Rattus norvegicus: one gene and its partners. The protein of the gene in region 1 interacts with the protein of each later gene in a biochemical or structural test. Links are inferred from orthologs where the notes say so. Each region holds a gene or a part of one and is shown on either strand. Other genes may lie near its edges. The genes, in order: Tnfrsf13b, Tnfsf13 and Tnfsf13b.

What was found.
Region 2: the proteins of Tnfrsf13b (region 1) and Tnfsf13 form a complex in vitro, tested with the Homo sapiens proteins (2 studies listed by BioGRID and IntAct). The link is inferred for Rattus norvegicus from reciprocal best matches to the Homo sapiens genes TNFRSF13B and TNFSF13.
Region 3: the proteins of Tnfrsf13b (region 1) and Tnfsf13b form a complex in vitro, tested with the Homo sapiens proteins (3 studies listed by BioGRID and IntAct, with this or other methods). The link is inferred for Rattus norvegicus from reciprocal best matches to the Homo sapiens genes TNFRSF13B and TNFSF13B.

What each region holds. Positions count from the first base shown.
Region 1 is NC_086028.1:46,298,999-46,305,830, reverse strand, and holds the start of Tnfrsf13b (tumor necrosis factor receptor superfamily member 13B), read right to left. Parts: upstream 4,496-6,832; 5' UTR 4,443-4,495; intron 1-4,442. UniProt on the Homo sapiens protein: Receptor for TNFSF13/APRIL and TNFSF13B/TALL1/BAFF/BLYS that binds both ligands with similar high affinity. Mediates calcineurin-dependent activation of NF-AT, as well as activation of NF-kappa-B and AP-1.
Region 2 is NC_086028.1:54,898,022-54,905,089, forward strand, and holds Tnfsf13 (tumor necrosis factor ligand superfamily member 13), read right to left. Parts: upstream 3,795-7,068; 5' UTR 3,501-3,794; coding exon 3,270-3,500; exon of another isoform or gene 2,959-3,269; coding exon 2,880-2,958; exon of another isoform or gene 2,745-2,879; coding exon 2,697-2,744; coding exon of another isoform or gene 2,624-2,696; intron 2,550-2,623; coding exon of another isoform or gene 2,547-2,549; coding exon 2,431-2,546; intron 2,212-2,430; coding exon 2,073-2,211; intron 1,716-2,072; exon of another isoform or gene 1,546-1,715; coding exon 1,436-1,545; 3' UTR 1,214-1,435; coding exon of another isoform or gene 1,116-1,213; 3' UTR 784-1,115; downstream 1-783. Other genes in the region: uncharacterized protein Eif4a1l, read left to right, coding at 2,624-2,708; Tnfsf12 (tumor necrosis factor ligand superfamily member 12), read right to left, coding at 5,090-5,341, 5,501-5,625. UniProt on the Homo sapiens protein: Cytokine that binds to TNFRSF13B/TACI and to TNFRSF17/BCMA. Plays a role in the regulation of tumor cell growth. May be involved in monocyte/macrophage-mediated immunological processes.
Region 3 is NC_086034.1:86,190,014-86,196,886, reverse strand, and holds the start of Tnfsf13b (tumor necrosis factor ligand superfamily member 13B), read left to right. Parts: upstream 1-2,387; 5' UTR 2,388-2,527; coding exon 2,528-2,890; intron 2,891-2,977; coding exon 2,978-3,062; intron 3,063-6,873. UniProt on the Homo sapiens protein: Cytokine that binds to TNFRSF13B/TACI and TNFRSF17/BCMA. TNFSF13/APRIL binds to the same 2 receptors. Together, they form a 2 ligands -2 receptors pathway involved in the stimulation of B- and T-cell function and the regulation of humoral immunity.

The DNA of each region.
Region 1 (6,832 bases):
ACAATTTAATTTATAGTGACATAAAAAGAAATAAAATACTTAGTCAAGTTAGCCAATGAAGTGAAAGAAGTGTATGCCAAAAAACCTATAGGATATTGTGGAAAGAAATTACCTAAATAAGTCAAAAGATACCCTGTGCTCATAGACTAGAAGACTTAAGAAGTCAATATGGCCCAACGCAATCTAGCAGTCATACAATTTATAACAGAATCTTATTGACTTTTTTAAAAAAACGTAAATCGGAAAGGCTATCCTAAAAATTCCAGTGGAATTTATTGCAAGGAACTGTGAATAATCTTTTTTTTTTTTTTTCGGAGCTGGGGACCGAACCCAGGGCCTTGTGCTTCCTAGGTAAGGGCTCTACCACTGAGCTAAATCCCCAGCCGTGAATAATCTTTAAAAGAAGGGTGAAGCTGGGGACTCACACTTCCTGGTTCTGAAACAGTCAGAGCTGCCGCAGTCTGCAGTGTGGTGCCAGCATAGGCAGGGGTCCGACCAGAGCAGATGGTTTCCTTACAGGCACACCAGGAGCATTCAGCAGGGTAAAACCAGTCTTTTCAATGAATAGCGGATATCATTTAAATCAGGGCACCATACATTTAAGATGTGATATCAGTGTTGAAGGGAATGCTGGATAGACACGTGCAAAGGACACGTGTTAAGTCTTTCTATGCTACCATTTTTTTTTTTTTTTTTGGTTCTTTTTTTCGGAGCTGGGGACCGAACCCAGGGCCTTGCACTTCCTAGGTAAGCGCTCTACCACTGAGCTAAATCCCCAGCCCCCTATGCTACCATTTTTAAAAAATAATCTAAAGAGCCAGCTGGACGTGGTGAGCATCCCGTTAATCCCAGCACTCAGATGCAGAGGCAGGTGCAACTCTCTGAGTTCGAGGTCAGCCTGATCTACAAAGGGAGTTCCAGGATAGGCAAAACTGTTACACAGAGAAACCCTGTCTCAAAAACCAAACCAAAACAAAACAAAAAAACAATAAATAAGAAAACAAATAAATAAAAATAAAATAAAATAAAATGATCAGAGACTTAAAAGTCTTTAAAACTAAAAATTGTGCTAAAGAGTTGAATAGACATTTCTCCAAAATTATGCATGGATGAACAACAGGCACAGAGAAAGGTGCCCAGCTCAGCACTGGGCAAAGAAACTCAAACCATCCCCTGCTGGGACTGCTACAGTGCTTAGACAGGGGATAGGGACAGACAGTGAGGACTCTGTGCATCAAATGGGATTAGGCAATGTTGTGACCACTTTGTCAAGTGACCATTATTTAAAAATTCAACCAAGTCACTGTGGCAGCCGGTCGTTCCACACCTAGGTAGCTGTCTAGCCAAAAGAATGAAAGCATACTGCTCAAAAGATAAACACAGTACAGTCTGTCCCTAAAATGCGATATCACTTAGTTGTGAACATGCAGTACTGGCCACGCTACAGCATAGGTAACCTGTGAGAACACGTGAAGAAACAGGGAACACAGAATCACAGCACACACAGAGATTGAGGCTGATGATACAAAGTATCCAAGACCCTCAAACCTCTAGAGATAGGAGAGCTGTAGTCTGCGGCTGGAGGCAGGAGAGAGAAAGATTAATAAGGTTTCTTCTGATATTAGAAACATCCTAAAATTAGGTTGTGGGGAAAGCTACAAAATTGTGTTGATACTAAAAACGGAAATCCTTTATAAATTGGAGTGAGTGAGATAGGCAGGCCAACTGGAGAGAGGCTCCATGACCCACCACAGCCACTTGCGTCAGACCTCGAGACTGACCGGAAGAAGCTGTGTCTACCCTTCTTTCTTACCCACCAGCTAGATCCATGAAAAGGCCAGAAGCACTGCCCAGCCCCTAGGAGGGGCAGGAGACCCCCGAGGGTGACAGCAACTGAGGCAGCTCCTTTGGTGGATGGCAGGAAATTCCTCTTGTAGCCTAGACAGGCGCACTGGGCTCAGATGAACACAGAGGTTTCCGCGTACCCTGAAACCCAAGAGTCGGCGGGTCCTACAATTTCTAGAGGCCCCTGACATGCTTGGCTAGACAGCAGGCTCTGCTTCATGGAAGACTGATAAGGTAGATTAGTTTGTAACCCGCTTTTTAAAAGTCAAGACAGCAGCTCGCCCCACACAGGAAGACCTGTCGTGTCTGCAAGGTGGTGCTCAGGCTCCTTAGCAGGACTGACTGTAAGGTCACTTCTTATCCTGTGCAAAGCAGGAGCTCATCAACTGGCGCTTCTCTTCCAAGCCCCAGACTGATGGATTCCTTACCCCTTAGTCCAGGCACCGAGGAAGGCAACTTTGAATTCGTGCACCTTTTAAAAACTGGACACAGGCTGGGAGGCGAGGGTGGCCCACGCCTTTCATCCCAGCACTTGGGAGGCAGAGGCAGGAGGAGCTCTGATTTCAAGGCTGGTCTGTCTACAGAGAGTTTCAGAACAGCCACGGCTACACAGAGAAACCTTGTCTTCTTGAAGAACCAAGCCAAGGAAACAAAAAGCAAAAATAAATCTGGACACAGGACACGTTTGGCTCCTACTGTAAATACCTTGAAAGAGGAAGGAAAGGCTCAGTTTTCGGTACCAGTCAGGTACCGGTGTGAGCGAGCTGGCCTGTACTGCTGTAGAACCAAACACTCAAGACAGTTTTAAGAACACAAGGCCCAAACCACAGCTTTTTGCTATGAATCCAAATACTTCTGGCTTTTTCTTTTTTTAAATAAAGCATTTTTCTATTTGAGTAAAATATAATTGTTATGTGAAATATATTAAGGTGGTTACTTTCATTTTAATGGATCATCATCATCATCGTCATCATCACCATCATCTCATTATCATTATCACCATCACCATCACCATCACCATCACCATCATCACCATCACCATCACCACCACCACCACCACCACCATCATCATCATCATCATCATCATCATCATCATCATGATGTTTTTGAAGCAGGCTCTCACTATGTAGCCCTGGCTTTTCTAAAACTCATTATGTAAACCAAGCTGGTCTCAAACTCCCAGGGATCTGCTTGCCTCTGCCTCACAAGTGCTAGAATTAAAGGTGTGCACCACTACACCTGGCCAGCACTTTTCTATTTTTAATTTCCTCTCTGTCCAGCAACCGTGTCCACCATGGTTCTATATTCCCATCTCTACCTGTCCCCATCTGCCTTCTTATTTTTCTTGGTGATTATTGCTGATAAAGCAGGGCTGCTTATCCTATAATGTGCCTGGGGTAATTTAGAGAGTTTCCTCCAAGGCAGAGAGGTTTTATTGTTAGCTTTTATTGTTAGGGAGAAAACTATGAACAGAAAGAATGTACGCCTATCTCACGATAGTACAAATATAATAAATATTTAAATAATTATTTTAAATTTTAAATTATTTGAAATATTAAAATTAGTCGAAGGATTCTTTTGTTGTTATTGTTTAGTTTTAACTTCCCAGAACTTTTGCTTGTGACTCTTCAAGAGAGTCTGAAGGGTTGAAAGCAGGTTTGTGGATTTGGGGTCCATTTTGTAGAAGAGACTTTTCCGAGATCAAGGGGCAGTGTACAAACTACGAACAAATGGTAACTTGATCTCTCCACCTGTCCCAGCTCTCCCGGCAGCACTAGGAAGCTGCTATGGAATCCGGTCCGTTCTGCCTGATTCCTAATTCCTGGTCCCAGGCCCTCTGACATTTCCTCTTGGGTCAAGGTGGCTCCTGATCACTGACTCTGCATTCTCTGTGAAACTTAATTGCATCCTTGGCAGACATGGTTGCTGGACAGAGATGGAAATCCTAGCGAAGGCCTGCCTGAGGCCAGCTTGGGTATGGGGAGAGGTGGAGCCGCTGTGAGCAAGGGTCCTGATGAGGAACCTCTCCGCCTTGGAGGGAACTCTCTAAATCACCCCAGGCACACTATAGGATAAGCGGCCCTGATTCATCAACGAAAATCAGCAAGAAAAACAAGAAGGCAGATTGGAACAGGTAGAGGTGGAAATACAGAACCCATTTTCTCCTGTGGGCCACGAAGGACTGATTTGAATCTGTCCACCGAGGACGCACACCGTCGGCACTTCTTGCTCAACACCTATGCTCGTTGGCGCTTTGTGATATTAAGAGTTCTTAGAAATTCACGACAGCTAAGTGAGGGCGGAGTTCTAAATGCTGACTCCCGAGGCATCTAAAATCTACCAGATTCACTTCAAAATAATCTGGGGGCACAAGGAGAAAGTCTGGAGCACATGGATAGAAAACAAAGGTTCTTGCCTGTTTGCCTGACCCCACTCCCCCTGGAAGGCAAGACCTGACCCCTGGAGGCTTCTCCGGTGTGCAGGACTGAGGCTGTCCGAAACCTGAGTAGCCTTATCTTGTGCCTGCGGTGGCACTGCTGGATCCCCAGCCCCCGGAGCACCCTCTTGGCCCTCACCCACCACGGCTGGCTACTCACCACGCTCCTGTGCCAACAGCGCCAGCCTCCTGCCTGCCCTGGCCCACACCACTCATTACTCAGGGCGTTTATTATTAGCCTGAGATTTTGTTAGGCCTAGGCCACACTTCCTGGGTTTTCCCCCTTCGACCTGGGGATGTAAATAAGCCGCCCTGTTGACCTGCGCCTGCGCCTGCGCCTTAGTCCAGGGAGTACAGGTGAGCGACCTGTCCCGTTAGCTTAGCAGTGGGGGCTTAGTCCGGTTGTGTTATGACAGGGCTTGGATAATTCTAGATCTTCCCTGCCCAACTCCTAGGCCTGGTTCCTATCCACTGTCCGCTCTCCAGGCTAGGATGCCCACACAGCTCTTGTGCTCCCTGCATAGCCTTCCCTCCTCTTGGACTATTACATTCTTTGTTTCTGCCTGGTCAGTTCATGCTGTCCCTTCTTCAATGCTCAGTTGAAGCGTCACCTCCCCCAGGAAGCCATCTGTGACTGCCCCCAGGACATTAGGTACCAGTGTTCTGTGCAGTCCCTGCAGATTTGGATCTTGCTTCTGGGTCCGATGCCTTGGTAAGGACTTAGGTATAAAGTGACTCGTACCTTCATGCCCTCATCTGGAAAGTGGGTCCTTGAGTCATTGTGAAAATGACACGAGTTCTCACAGTCACTTGATTGTTCTTTGTCTGGTTTTTAGTTCTCTTGGCACAGGTGTCACTAAGCTGGGCAAGGCTGGCTTGAACTCAAGATCTCCCTGCCTCAGACTCCAGAGTGTTGGGAGTTCAGGTGTGCTCCACACCTGGCCACCACAGGTTCATTCTTACAGCACGTTCTCAGTGCACAGTGACTCCTCCAATAAGGGACATGGGCGAATCAGTGCCACAGCCCTGATTACCCTGGGCTTCAACTCCATTTCCGTATACTCCCAGGTCTCGGAATCCTGCAGGGATAAGAAAGCCCAACAGTTGCCCTCCCAAGTTCATTGTAGTGCTGTTCACAGTAGCCCAGATACGAAGTCAATCTGCATGTGTTCAGTGGATGAGTAGATAAGGAAACTGTGGTGTGTGTAAACAATGGGATTCTCTTCATTCTCAATAGAGAGGGAACTCCTACATTTGTATGAATATGGATGGAACTGGAAAACTTTGTGTATAAAAAAGGAAGTTGGGCTGGGTGTGCTGGCACATGCCTTTAATCCCAGGATTTGAGAGACAGAAGCTGGCAGATCTCGGAGTTCTCTTGACTGACCTACAGCGCTAGTCCCAGGACAGCCTGGGCTACACAGAGAAATATTGCCTCAAACAACAAACAAAAGAAGAAGAGATCACAGTCCAGCAGGGATGAGCACAAAGGCTGCCCTTCAGAGGACCGAGGTTCAACTCCCGGCACCCACACGTGGCTCACAAACATCTGTAACTTGGGTTCCAGGGGACCCAATGCCCTCTTGTCCAAGGACCTCAGACATATGTATGATACACAGACACGTATTCAAGCAGGACACCATACGGATAAAAATTTAAAAATTGAAATCAATTGTTTAAATAGAAAGAAAAGGAGCTGATCATAGAAAAACAAAAGCCACATGTCCTCACTCCTTTGTGAGACAGAGGTCTTATGGCTGGGGAGGAAATCAGGCATCAGAGGCTGTGGAGGGTGGGGATAAGTTGGTCAGAAGGTCCCAGCTTCAGCTAGGTAGTTCTGTGGATCTGTTGTATAGCAGGATGACTACGATTCATAGTAATATGCCATGTAGCTCAAAAGAACTTCATTACTGCAGTGCAGCTCAGTGGTCAAGCATGGATGAGAGGCCCTGGGTTTATCCTCAGCACCGGAAAACAAAATGGCTCATACCCTTAATCCTAGTGCTCAGGAGGCTAAAGTAGAGGGATCCAGCCTGGGCTACATCGTGGAGAGTATGGGTTGGGAGACAGAGAGACAATTTAGGAGCTGGAGGTTGGGGATATGGCTTGACATTCACAGGGTCTTGGGTTCAGTATCCAGCACGGAAGAGAGGAGGAAGAGAGGGAAAGAGGGCGAGAGTGAAGAAGGGAGAAAGGGGAGAGAGAAGGAAGGGAGGGTGGGAGAGAAAAGGGGAGGAAGGAAGGAAAGGAGGAAGGGAAGAAGGGAGGGAGGGAGAGTGGGAGAAGGAAAGGGAGAGTGGAAGGAAAGAGGGAAGGAAAGGAGGGAGGGAGAGTGAGAGAAAGAATAAAGGGAAAAGGGTGGAAGGAAGGAAAGGAGGGTGGGAGGGAGAAAGGAAGAGAGGGAGAGAGGGGAGAAAGGAAGGGAAGGTGAGAGGAAGAGAAGAAAGGAAGGGAAGGTGAGAGGAAGAGAAGAAAGGAAGGGAAGGTGAGAGGAAGGGAGGAAGGAAGGGAGGAAAGGAGGAAGGGAAGAAGGAAGGGATGGAGGAAGGG
Region 2 (7,068 bases), about 8.6 Mb from region 1:
GGAAGAGGCCACAAGGGCGGGGGGAGGGGAAGGGGCGTCCTCACCAGGAGCGGGGAAGCCGGGCACACGGGCCCCAAGGCGGGTGTCTCCGCCTCAGGCTTTCCGGCTCATCTTTCGGACGGCGGCGACCCCGCCACTCCTGCTGTCCTCAGGCGGAGCCGTTTCAATTCACGAAGCCAAAGCTCGTGCCGCCCCACTGCGGCCGCCTCTAGCGCGGCTTTAGCCTCCACCTCTACCTCCACCTCCACCACCACCACCACCGCCACCACCCCTCCTCCTCCTTCCCCTCCCGCGAGCCCCAGGCCCACCGCCGATGGCGGCGCACAATTAGTGCGTCACACCCGGCGAGCGGCGCCGGCTCGTGCTCAGTCCCGCCTACCTCAGAGCGTCCAGGCCACCGGACGGTCCCGCCCTCGAGCTCTACGCTGAACCGAGCCTGCGCACAGTCGCCTAGGTTGCCGCGTGTGGCAGTCCCACTGCTCGCTCTTTTACGCCTGCGTGTCGCGTCCAGCCTCACGCTCTACGTCGCAGTCGTACGGTACTCCCTGCTCTTCCGTGGCCTGAGCTTCGGGTGATCCAGTGGGCTTCCCAGCGCGTGGCCAGGAAGTCAGAGACCCTGCAGGGACTGGACTGAGGCTAGGCGCTTGGGAGGCGGAGGCGGGACGTTACGTTTTTGTATTTTGATTTTTTTTTTCAACTTTAAGCAGGGCTTGATTAAAGAGTGAGACACGACCAGTGTGCCAGGGCGTCCAGTGCATACAAACTCCCCGAATACCAGTCCGATCTTGTAGAGTCTTTTATTTGTTTGTTTGAAACAGGGTCTCAACCACTGTAACCCCTGGATGGCCTGGAACTCACTATTTAGACCAAGTTGACCGCTAACATAGAAATAGGCCTCCGAGTACTGGGATTAAAGCGGTGAAGCACAATGTTCAGCTCGGAAGTTTGCTAGGGGAATGGGGAGCATGAATGGAATGGATGTCGAGGCACCTAAAATACATTTTTTTTCTAGACAGTAACAAGAATTTGGACGCAATAGTGAGATAGTGAAAATCGGGCTTCTTGTACATTGAAGCAGGGGGCTTGAAGAGTTGTGGCCGAGGGACACGTTTTCCCTAGCAGAGACCGTGTTCTTTCCTCAAACTGCCTCTAGATGGTGGTGCTGTTCTGGATGCAGTCCAGTGGATAAGGCTTGGCACAGTGCACAAAACCCCTTTAACACACACAACAAAAGAATTTGGGGCCATGTGGGAGATAGACACAAAATATTCTACTTCTTTAATATCTATGGAATCAGAACCCAGATAGTGGGATCGGGAAAGGCAAAGCGGGGAACAACAGTCAAGACGTCAAAACCAAGGAGAACGGTTCTTGACCACTTGCTGTCCTTTGTCTAGCCAGTTCTTGGAATGGGAACCCCACCTTTATAGCACAGTCATAGTTTCACAAACCCCAGGAATGTTCCATGTGGAGAAAGGCTAAGTTTTGCGTTTGCCCGAGGAATTTTGACAGTGATAATATCCCCTTGATGTAAGTGAAAGACACCTGAGGGGGGAAAAACATTTCAGATGCTTCATTCTGCCTGCTCCAACCCCTCCTCCATTTTGATTTTTATGTTTTCAGTGTTTTGTTGGGGAACATGTGCATGTGTGGAGGAGATCAGAAGACCACTTAGGAGAGTCGGTTTTCCTTCTGCTCTGTGGCATCAAGCCCAGGTAGTGAGTTGTGAGAGATGGAGCAGGCACCTCTCCTAAGTGAGCCGTCTCACTGGCTTTCCTTTTTAATTTTTTAAACAGCCTCATTCTGTAGCCTGGGCTGATCTTGAATTTTGGGTAAAACTCCCACTTCAGCTTCAAACATGGGATTATAGGCACGGACCTAGTCATTCATAGGCTTGTGCCTTTTCTCCCTGCAAGGACCTGGGAATCTTGTTCTTCAGTCTTCAGTTTTGTCTCTACACCCAAGTTCCCAACTCCCTCGTATAATTCCCCACACCAAGTCAGCTCTGCTTGAGTGGATGTGACCTGCTCTGCTCATTCAGATCAACCCTCTTCAGACCCCACAGTTCTCACCTGCACTGTAGCAGCTGTTGTAGGCACGGTCAGGATCAGAAGGCATACTTTTGATACACCGGAATAGAGTCTCCCTTCTCCCTTGGCCTTCCCGAGATACCACCTGACCCATGGTGAAAGTCACATCATGAAACAGGACCTGTCAGAGGAGGGAGATGCTGAAGAAAACCAGGACGGCACGGTTCAGTCCTTAGGGGCCATAGGATCACTGGTAGTGGAGCCAGGCAATAAGGAGGGGTTGTTCTGGGTTTGGTATGAGCAGAGTGATCAGGGAAACCCTCAGTACAGACAGGGTACATAGAAGAGACAAGCCAGTCTCCATGTCCACATTGGTCGCTCAGGGCTTGTCTGGGATTACCTGACTATATAGCAGATAAATTCCAGTGTCCCGGACTCGAACAGTGTCTCCTTGGGCCTCCAGGCCTCTCCCACGCCTAAGAGCTGGTTGCCACATCACCTCTGTCATGTCAGAGTCTGCTAGAGGTGAGGAGTGTGCAGGTCAGCATTTCTTCACCCTCATACACATGAGCTCTCTCCCTTCTCATTTCTAGGGTTCTCTTGGCCCCAGCCCCACAGTTCCTGGTTGGTGCCCCTCCCAGTGCGGTTATTTCAAATAATGCTTACCCTTGGAGGTAATGTTAATTGGAACAAGATGCAGAACGGACTGCTTCTCTAAGGAAAGGAGGAGGAAACAGCAGTGTTGACCTGCCCCCGGAGTCCACCCTCCACCCTCACCTCAGCTCTGGTCGTCATTCCTCATGCTCCTGGCTCACCTCCAACCCTGCAGAAACCCCAGGGCTCACTCACTCTTGTGCTTCTGGGTGAGTACTGCTCTCCTTCTCCGAGATTTGGCCCCATCCTTCCAGGCTCCCAGGACATCAGGACTCTGCTCATGAAAGAGGGCCAGAGTTTGACTAAGATGTTAAGGATCTTACACAACCTTCCCAGCCCTTCTCAACGCCTGAATGGCTGAAATGTAGGAACCTGTCATAGGCCCCTGGTCTGGGCACTGACTGCCTTTCAGGTGCTCTTGGCATTAATCTTTAACTGTTTATTTTCCTGGAACGGCTGGCTGTTCCCTTGACTTCCCAATCCAGGGCCACCTCTAGCACTCACTTGAAAGTTTGCAGGTTGAGAGGCTCTGAGAGCCTCTGCCATTCACCCTTTACCCCTAGATTCCCATCTCCCTTAACTCACCTGTTCCCAGAGGCTCTGCCATGGAGGCTCTCCCCGCTTCTGGGAAGCTCCTCCACTCCGCTGCAGCCGGCTCACCTCCCGCCTTAGGCTCTGCAACTCTGCTTGTTGGATCAGTAGTGCGACAGCACAAGTCACAGCCCCCAGAACTGCCCCCCAACTCAACCAAAGAGTGACCGAAAGGGCTGGCTCTCTGACTGAGCCTCCCATGTTGCCTGGAGATGAGGCTGGCATGAGCTAGGGACCCTGCTGACAGCTGTGGGCTGCAAGTGAGGTGGCCAGGAGGTAGCAGGGAGGGTGGGAATACAGGCAAAGGCGCAGAAGGGAAGAGCGAGTTACGCAAGGGAGAAATAAAAAGGAACTTGAGAATAGGAAGAAATCAAGCTAGGGTCCTATTAGTCCCCTGATCCCCAGCTAGTGTCCCTCTGACACCCCTGGCCCCCTCCCCCCCAAGCCTCAGGAGAATTTGGTGCCAATTATCTAGGAAGGGCAGGGCAGCCGTGACACCCAGAAGGAGCGGTCAGCGTTCAGGAGCCCAGGGGCGGCCCCTAAGTTGGAGGAGGGAAGGTCGGTTGGTTATGGGGCATGGTGCCAGGGGCAGGGAATGGGGACAAGCTCAGCAGCATGAGCCTTAGAAGGTGAGTGTGGTGGACTCTCTCTCTGCCTGAGGCACAAATGACAGCTTTGAGGAGGCTTGTTAGGGGTGACTGGAAATGAAAAAAAAAGGGGGGCTAGGGGCCAGCAGGGAGGAGAACCAAGGACAAGAAACTGGCAGGGTGCTGGGGTTAAGGCTGGGCCGGGTGTGTTGGAACCAGGCCTGCACTACTCCCTGTGCTGAACTTGGCAAGCCGGACTTCCTGTTTCCCAAGAAGAGTTCTTACATAAGGTTCTCTGGACAAAGAGAAAAGAAAAAAGCCCCAAGCCCCTCAGTCAGCGCAGCACTCCTCCCCACACCCATACGGCTGGCCCACCAGAGCCCTTCCTATGGCTCTGAGCCCCTTCCCGGGCTAGCTCCATTCCATCTCCTAGCCAGGCCCGTGCCAGCACCTGCTCAACTGCTGAATGTCCTGAGGCCGCCAAGAGGAAGGACCCTGCTCCTCCCAGCCAGGGATTCCCCTGCAGGAGGAAGTCCGCTGCTAGGAAAATGAGGCTGCTTCTGCAGCGCCTTGTGCAGAGGACCAGGTGGTTTTGTTGTTGTTTGCATGGTTTTTTTTTTTCTGGTATCTTTGTGATTTCTATTCAAAACTGCAGCTTGGAGGCTTGCAGGTCCCCATTCCCCAAAGCCTAAGATTCCCTTCCCACAACCTTCAGTTACACTGAACCCCAAAGAAGAGAAATCATGATTTATTCTCTTTAATATCCATTTAACATTTTGTCACAATAATAATAAAAATAGTATCTTTTCAAAATCCACAGGGATCCAGGGAGGAGCTTGTCTCCATCTCTTTCCCCTCACATTTGGGAACTTCTGGCCTAGTCCCAGGTTCTTTGGCTTCCTGCCACCAGGTCCAGCCTATCTTGATGCCTGATGCACATAGTCAGTAAAAACAGGGTCCCAGGGTTGGGGCGGGGTAGTCGGGTACGTGGGGGCTTTGGGAGCTCGTGAGGCGGGCAGCTGTGGTGGGGTGGGAGGTTACAGAAGAACGGGAATATGTCTGTGGAATGGAAAACATGTCATCAAGCCCTGGCTGCCTTGGAAGAGAGGACAGGACTGGAGCAAGGAACAGCTAGAGGGTGGAGGAGTGGGCGTGGGGTGGGGAGGTGCTGTGGTGCTCTGGGAGCTGTTAGGTTAAAGTTTAAAGAACCTGGGAGAGCAGGACCCCTCAGTGAACTTGAAAGAGTCCAAAGTAGGTAAGGAAGGGGGCAGCCTTAAGATGAGCCCAGGGGAGGGTACGGATCCGAAGGGAAGACCCTGGCCGCAGAGGCAACAGCCCAGACACCTGGCACAGACGGAGCTGGGGCCCAGGAGAGCTCGCTGCTGTGGCTGAGAATTCTTCCAGGCAGCGCAGGGCCAGCACACCATTCACCAGCAAGTCCAGCTTCAGGTAGACTGCCTTCCCCTCATCAAAGTGCACCTGGAGCAGAGAGAAACCAGCAAAATCCAGACCTCTGCCTGCCCTCATCGAAATCCAGGCATCTTCCTTCATGAAACCCAGGTTCTCCCACTCCCACCCATTCCTTGCCAAGCCTTCCTCCCCTTAGCCATCGCTCTACCCATGGAGCCCAGGGCTTACCTGACAGTACAGGTAGTAGAGCCCAGCCCTGATGACCGTAAATTCCCCAATCTGGCGGTCATAGCGCAGAGGGCTGGAGCTGTTGATTTTGGTCTCTTCCCAGCCACTCACTGTCCCATCCACACCTGGATAGGGGATGTGTAGGGATAAGTAGAAGCCCTTTACCAGACTCCCCCACACTCCCTAAGAATCCATCAAGTTTACATATTTGTGAGGTACAACCTACCCCGAAGGGTATCAGTGGCCCAGAGTATAGGTGGAGCCATGCCATTATGGTACAAGAAGTGACTAGAAGGTATTGTGTGAGGAGACCTAATGTATATGACCAGGGCACTTCAGGGCTTCTGAGGGGATAGAAGAGCAGTGCTGTAAGAGAGAGGCTGGGGTTTTCACATCTATCTCATCAACATGGTTTGTGTCTTGAACATATAAGATGCATGTGCATGTTTGTGTGTACATCATTTGAGTCGATTAAAAATGAGTGACGGGGGCTGGAGAGATGGCTCAGAGGTTAAAAGCACTGACTGTTCTTCCAGAGGTTCTGAGTTCAATTCCCAGCAACCACATGGTGGCTCACAACCATCTTAATAGGATCCAATGCCCTCTTCTGGTGTGTCTGAAGACAGCAACAGTGTACTCATACATAAAAATAAATAAATAAATTTAAAAAAAAAATGAGTGACGGGCCACAGGCTCACTGGCTATGAGTTTAAAACTTCCTATACAAATAGGAATATACGTAGCATCAATGGTGTACGCCTCTAATCCCAGCACTTGGGAGGCAGAGGCAAGCAGATCTCTGTGAGTCTGAGGCCAGCTTGGTCTTAGAGCAAGTTCCAGAAGAGCCAAGAATACACAGAGAACGCTGGTCACAAAACAAAACAAAGTAACATTTAGTGCCCATCAGCAAATGAACAGATGAGCAAACACTGCAGTCCTATCTACTGGGCCTCACTCTGCTATAAAAGGAATAAAGAAGTTTCTTGCCACCAGGTGGACAAGCCTTAAACATACTGTGCTAAGTGAAAGAACCATGCGCCATAGTCTCCCAAGCACAGGAACTGCCTGGAAAAGTAGTTTATAGAGACAGCAAGTGGGCAGGTGATTGCCCAAGGCTAGCCCTGATGGGACTATGGTGTGATGGCTAAAGGATACATGGCTTCTTCTTCTCTTTTTATTACTATTATTTTTGGCACAGTCTCACGTAGCTCAGGCTAGCCTTAAACTTGCTGTGCAGTTGAGGATGAACTTGGATTCCTTATGCTACCTTGCAAGTGCTGAGATTATGGGTGTGTGCCACTTTATGAGGCTTGGCCTTGTGGGGTTTTGTTTGTGATAGGATCTCTCTCTGTAGTCTTAGCTGTTCTGATTGTCCACTATATTGACCAAGCTAGTCTCTAACTCACAGAGACTGACCTCCACCTGCCTCTGCCTCCTAATGCTGGGATTAAAGGTGAGAGCCATATTTTGTGGTGATTAACGGCTTGTACTTTAGAGTGTACTTTAGTCACGGCAGACTAAGAGCACAGAGTTGCACAGGCGGGCAGACTGCATGGAATGTGAAATCT
Region 3 (6,873 bases), on another chromosome or scaffold:
AACTTAAGGAGCTTGACCATGAAGTTCTTTCCCTAATCGAGTAGAAAAGATGAAGGGTGTCCTTTAGCCCGGCTAGATAACTCCCTCTGAATAAACTATACAGAGACCCAAGAGGAAGGTGCTGTGTCTTGGTCTCACACTCCTTCTAGTCATTTAATTTCTGTACGTCATTTGGTAATAAAACATGACTGAGATATGTGCTTGATTTTGAAGCAGTGTTTTACTATGGAGCCCAGGCTAACATTGAACTCACAATCCTCCTATCTCGGCCTATCATGTGGTGGAATTCTAATCCTACCATTAAGTCTCATGAGTGAGTCTTAATGTCTTAGTCTCTGAGTGGAGGTCCCTATTACTACCAGTAGTCATTGCCTGTGATGCTGGACTGAAGCTCAGTCACCCAAATATCGTTTGATGTCAGACCTAAAGAAAAGTCACGGGGCTGGAGAGATGGCTCAGTGGTTAAGAGCACTGACTGCTCTTCCCGAGGTCCTGAGTTCAAATCCCAGCAACCACATGGTGGCTTACAACCATCTGTAATGAAATCTGATGCCCTCTTCTGGTGTATCTGAAGACAGCTACAGTGTACTCATAGATAATAAATAAATAAAATATTAAAAATTTAAAAAAAAAAGAAAAGTCACCCACATACTTAATATCCTATTTTCACTTTGGAGATTAGAGAACAGCTCGTTTGGGGGGTAAAGATTGCAGCCACTGGCTTACAAAGTTCTTTAGAACTCACATAACGAAAGAAAGGAAAGCCTGCAGTCCCAATGAAGAAGACTCCTAGCATCACTCGGGGATGAGTTGGGAAATGACAATCCAACAGCATTTCTTTTTGACACTTTGCAAAAGGGAAGATGTGTCTTGGTGGGGACCCCCTGCAGATATTACTGTGACAATCATAAAAATACCAATTTTAGCACTGAGTACCACAGCAAGAATCCTCCCTCTGTGCTGTGGTGGTGGTGCATACCCGTAATCCCAGCACTTAGGAGGCAGAGGCAGGTGGGGTGGTCTCTGAGTTCTAGGCCAGCCTGGTCTATGGAGAGAGTTCCAGAACATCGAGGGATATGCAAAGAAACCATGTCTTGCAAAAGAAAAGAAAAGAAAAGAAAAAGAAAGAAGGAAAGAAAGAAAGAAAGAAAGAAAGAAAGAAAGAAAGAAAGAAAGAAAGAAAGGAAGGAAGGAAGAAAGGAAGAAAGAAAGAAAGGAAGAAAGAAACTGATCTAATTCTGTAATTGACATAGGGAAAGCCAGGCACAGAAGCAGGATGGGTGGCTGGGAAGCCTCCCTCTGGAGTTCTTGCAGCTGTGCATCCTTGTTTCTGAGATTTTCTTCTTAAGCTTAGGAGGGAAGGCAGCATAAGGCTAAACCCCAGCAGCCTGAAGTTTATACAGTGACTAAGCTAAATCCTCAATGGCCTATACTGAAAGATAAATGGATGTTGAGGTACCAGGCCCCCAACCAGCCTTCCAGACCAGGAAAGACTAAAATGAATGAAACAGTGTCTGCATGTCACCAAGCCCAAGCACAGACTGAAGACATTCTGTGTCCATAGCTGTGAAATGAGTGCCATCAATGTGGAGATCCTACATCAGCTCCTAGCACAGGTCACGGTGTGTGCGTGTGTGCATGTGTGTGCACACGTGTGTGTGTGTGCATGTGTGTGTGCGTGTGTGCATATGTATGTGCACACATGTGTATGTGCGTTGTGTGTGTGCATGTATGTGCATGTGTGTATGTGCGTATGTGCGTATGTGCGTATGTGTGTGTGTGCGTGTATGTGTGTGTGTGTGTGTGTGTGAGAGAGAGAGAGAGAGAGAGAGAGAGAGAGAGAGAGAGAGATCTGAGCCTAACAGCTCTCTGACACCGAGTCTCAAAGGCAAAGAGGAAGCCATGCTTCCCTGTAATCCACCCCACATTTAAAGAGTCCCCAGTGTGGCCTTAAATAGATCTCTACCACGTTCTCTTCGTTGTCATGTCAAGATGAGAGCAGAGAACTTCGGGTGGAGTTCACTCCGCTTTATGACACTCCATTTCGTCTTCCACCGGGGAGCTGTTAGCTTCCTTGTCCTGCAGCCAAATGCAGTTCATGCTCGAGCACTGGGCTTATCTGACTTGCACATTAATTATCCTTTATTACACCACTAGGCCTTCAGTGTCCCCTTTCCTCTTCCTTAGAAACCATGTGGCTCCAAGTAGACAGTTCTTAAGGGCATGCCGAAGGGAAAGCACCTTCGATAAACTTGTCTGGAGTAAGCCAGTCTGAATCTCAAGCTGCTCCCAGCCGTCGTGTCAGAGGCCTCATATCTCCCACAAACAGGACTATATTGAGATAGAATGAAAAATCTTACAAAAACTGAAAGTGAAATGCGGAAGACAGATTGAGCAATCAATGGAAGGCCAGAGCCAGAGAACCTACTTCAGGGTAGCAAAAGATGCAGAAGAGAGAAAGTCAGGAGAGTGCCATGCTCTGAGGGCAGCCTCCTGAGACACAGATGACAGGAAATGACCTACCCCCATGGTCACTTACTCCAAAGGCCCAGACCTTCAAAGTGCTCCTCTTGGAATGGATAAGTCTGCAAAGAACCTGCCACCACCGCGCCTCTGTTTTTGCCCTGAGAAAGGAGAAGATATGAAAGTGGGATATGTTCCCATCACTCCGCAGAAGGAGGGTGCCTGGGTTGGGATCTGCAGGGACAGACGGCTGCTGGCTGCTACCCTCCTGCTGGCTCTGTTGTCCAGCAGTTTCACAGCGATGTCCTTGTACCAGTTGGCTGTCCTGCAAGCAGACCTGATGAGCCTGCGCATGGAGCTGCAGAGCTACCGAAGTTCAGCGACACCCGCCGCCCCGGGGGCTCCAGGGTTGTCCGCGGGAGTCAAAGTGAGTTCACTCCCCCGCTCTGCCTGTGCAGGAGCACCAGGTATGACACTCTGCTGCTGTCCAGTAACTGGTTGTCTCTATTCCCAGCTCCCAACACCCGCAGCTCCTGGACCCCACAACTCCAGCCGAGGCCAAAGGAACAGACGCGCTTTCCAGGGACCGGAGGAAACAGGTATGACTGGGGCACAGCAGTTAGGAGCTGGGGCGGTGCTGTGCACACCTGCACCCGCCCGGCGGCGGCGGTGAGCAAAGCACTTTGTGTGGCTTTGTAGCAAATGCAATAGGCTGCGTGGCGTGCCTTCCCCTACACTGAGCAGGGCATGTGGACAGGAGGATAGGGTGCACGTATCCCTCACAGTGATGGTGTGCTCAAGAACTTAGCAGCAGAGTTCTTCCTGTCACCGCAGAGTCATGTGACCACCTGGATCTTGGTTAAGAAGCCATTCCCTAGCATTTTTCAGATTTCCCTTGTTCTAGCAAAGTTGAGGTAGGACAAACCCTGCATTATGAGGGTTTACTAATTTTTTTCTTAACACATACACGCGCACACTCACACGGTGGGGGCAGGTGCAAACCACACAGAAATGGCAAAGACTGTAATGTACCCTTGCCACATGCAACATAATTCCCGCGTAATCATTCTGCTGTGGCTTTGGTGATTTCTGTCCATTCTCTAGCGTTTTGCAGAGTTGGGAGCTACTAAAAATGAACTTTTCTTCTTACTTCATGGGGGAAAAAGAAGCAATACTTGTCTGTTAGCAATACGATTTAACACATCCCTGCTGTTGTCTGCTTTTTTATTCTTATAAAAAATTTACCCGATAATCCGAGTTAAAAATACCTAAAAATAAGTTAAAATAATTTCAACTGAGTTAAAATTAACTTTAAGTTATTAAGTGACTTAAAAATAAACAACAAAAATTATTGAGTTCTAAGTTACATGCTAAAAGAGTGCGTGGAGTTATTACATGCACTGCAGAACTAAACATTTTGCACAAATTTGAAATTTACTGTATTCAGTGTGAGTGACCTTCTATCTTTTTTTGCTGAAATGATTTTAGCATATATAGTGCGATGTATACAATACTAGCACACATGCCACAATGAGGGAATAATAGCACACAGTTACAGAGCATCACATGCTATATATTACGGTGTATGTAATAATAGCTCATAATCACAGTACATATAACTGTATAAGCACTATACCCTGCTTTATTCTGTTTTTTATTTTACAACAAGTATCTCACAGACTTCTTAGTAATTCCCTTGGTCTAATCTACTATTTGTCTTTTAAATAATTATTTTATTGTTACTGTGATTGATACAAGATACACACAAATTTTTTGTGTATCTCTTGTTTCTGAGGAATTATGCATTCGATAGAACCATAGTTTATTATTCGACTTTCTTACTCTGAACTCTTTGGGTCACAGGTTTCTATGTACTCATTAGCATTCCGTCCTTATACCTTCATTTTGATAGTTTTATAGCTTCGCCTTGCTTCTCAAGTTTAAGTGTGAACCCCATTCTCTAATTGTAAATATTTTTCACGTGTTCTTATTTTACTTTCAATTTTATGTTTTTTTTAAGTTTTGTCGATTGGCTGGCTATCTAGCCTATGTTTTTTTTTTTTTTTTTTTTTTTTTTACAATTTGACGTTGATGTAAATACTTGCACTGCGTCTTGTATTTTCTTCAAACCTATAGAGAGGTGTGGTGTGTTTATTAAAGAGATTCTTGTTTCCGCTGGTTTAAGTTAAAGCCCCTGGCTCCCTAAGTAGCAAGCTACGATCCCCTTTACTTGCCTCTTGTTTTGACTAAGTGTCCCTTTGCTCCTAACCTATTAATCCTGTGTCTCTTATTGTGGTAAAGCCTCTCACACTGGTATAACTTCCTCCTTTCTCCATCCCGCTTCAGGCTGTTGTCTCAAACAAAAGCATGAAAGTGTTCTCCAGAATGCTTGTGCTGGTGAACTTGGGGCATCAAGTTCTTTATACGCGACTGAATTTATGTGAGATAGTTTTATCGCCAGCTTCTTCCTCTACCCTTCTGCTTCATATGGACTAAGTAGTTTTACATTTTAGTGGACATCAATACACAGTCAGGCAGGGTGCCACAGTGATCTTAAGTCATGTCTCCTACACTTCCAGGCTTCCTAAAGACTGGTTTCAAAAATAACTTTGCCATTCTAAAGAGGACATAGACTCATTTTAAAAGGTTTAAGAGTAAAGAATAGGAGAGAATTATGGTGTATGTCTTTAATGCCAGCACGTGGGAGGTAGAGTCAGGCAGAACTTTGTGAGTTCAACACCCAGCCTGATCTATATGGAAAGTTCTGGACCAACAGGGCTACATAGGAAGAAAAAGGAGAGGGGGAGTGGGGGAGGGGGGGAGAGAGAGAGAGAGAGAGAGAGAGAGAGAGAGAGAGACTAGGTTAAATATCCTATAATGATATATTTTAAATAATTTTCACATTTGCATATTTTATAGGTTTGTGATTTTGTGCATCCAAATATTTCAGGCTGACGAAACTGGAAGAGGAAAATTAATTAATAATTTGTAAAATTTAAAGAATAATGTACTGTCAATATATGATACACATATTTTGTTTTTTCTTCATTTATATTTCCCCAATACTCATAAATCCAAGATAAGAAAGTTGCAGATCTGAGTCTCAAGGAAGGGAAATGTCTCCTGTTCCTGGACAATTAAAGTATCGACTCTTGTTTCCTATACTCTCCTTCTGAATTAGGGAAACGTACTTTATCAGTGACCACTGTGATTATCTACTAATCCACAAAAGTTATCTGAAACACAAGGATTTTCTATTGGTTTACTGGAGTCTTATTTTTTTATTGATAAAAGCGTGTTTATTTTTGTAAATTTTGTTACACCTGGTTGTTCTGACTGTTTTCTTGGACTTGAACTAACCTTGGTGTGTTCCTTTTACTTTCACAAGTGTCCGCTGAGGCTTTTACTGGGAACTGCTTACATCTGTTTCTGAGCTGTGGGTATCTCCATTCTCTCTCTTCTGACAGCAGTAGAAGAGAAAGGCAGACCCACACAAGTCCTCTGAGTCCTCTGGGGATAGAGTACTTTTACTTAATTTTAAAACAGCATTTTGGCATACTTTTTTAAGTTATTTTGAATTTGAATTATATTTTATTAAGCTTAGTGCATTTTATAAGGTCATTTTATTGCAATACGATAAACAGAAATGTGGGGAAATCCAGGATTAAACAATTGCCAAATAGCTTATCATAACCAACAATTCACTCTTAATCCTTTAAATGTGTTTGGAAAGATTCTTAATAATAATAAGAGAAAAACCTAAAGCAGCATAATCTGAAAATATTACATAATCCAGTTTCCTTAAAACTGCCCTCACATTGGCCTGTGCTTTGACCCTTCACAAGCTATGATTTTATCCGTTTCACAGTCCACATAAGAATATCTTTAGAGCCTACGAAGGTGACTTCTTTCAAACAGCTTATGGGCAAACGAAATTAGCCTGTCATCCCAGCTACTCTGGAGCTAAGGAAGGAGGATCACATGATGAGTTCAGTCCCTGCCTGAGGCAGCCGAGTGAATCCTGCCTCAAATCAAAATAAAACAAGGAAAGAGGAGGCAGCTCAGTGGTCCAGCTTCTGCCTCGCATGCACGGGACCGGAGGAGGCAGCTCATTGGTCCAGCTTCTGCCTTGCATGCACGGGACCCCAGGATCAAACTTCAGCATTTCCTCACTTGTCTGTCTACAGGGAAAGTTGAAATAACTGTTTTAGATTCTAAAAAGACAAAGCTCTTTTAAAGAAACATTGTATTGACTATTCTGCGCATAACATTTATCAAAGCTCCTGCAACAGTAGCAGTGGCAAAGCAGAGGTGGAAACAGGGACAATTATGAGACATAAGGGAGGGCAGAGGGGCCCAAAGATCACAAGAGAACAAGGACTAGGATCATTTAAAATTCACAACCCTGAA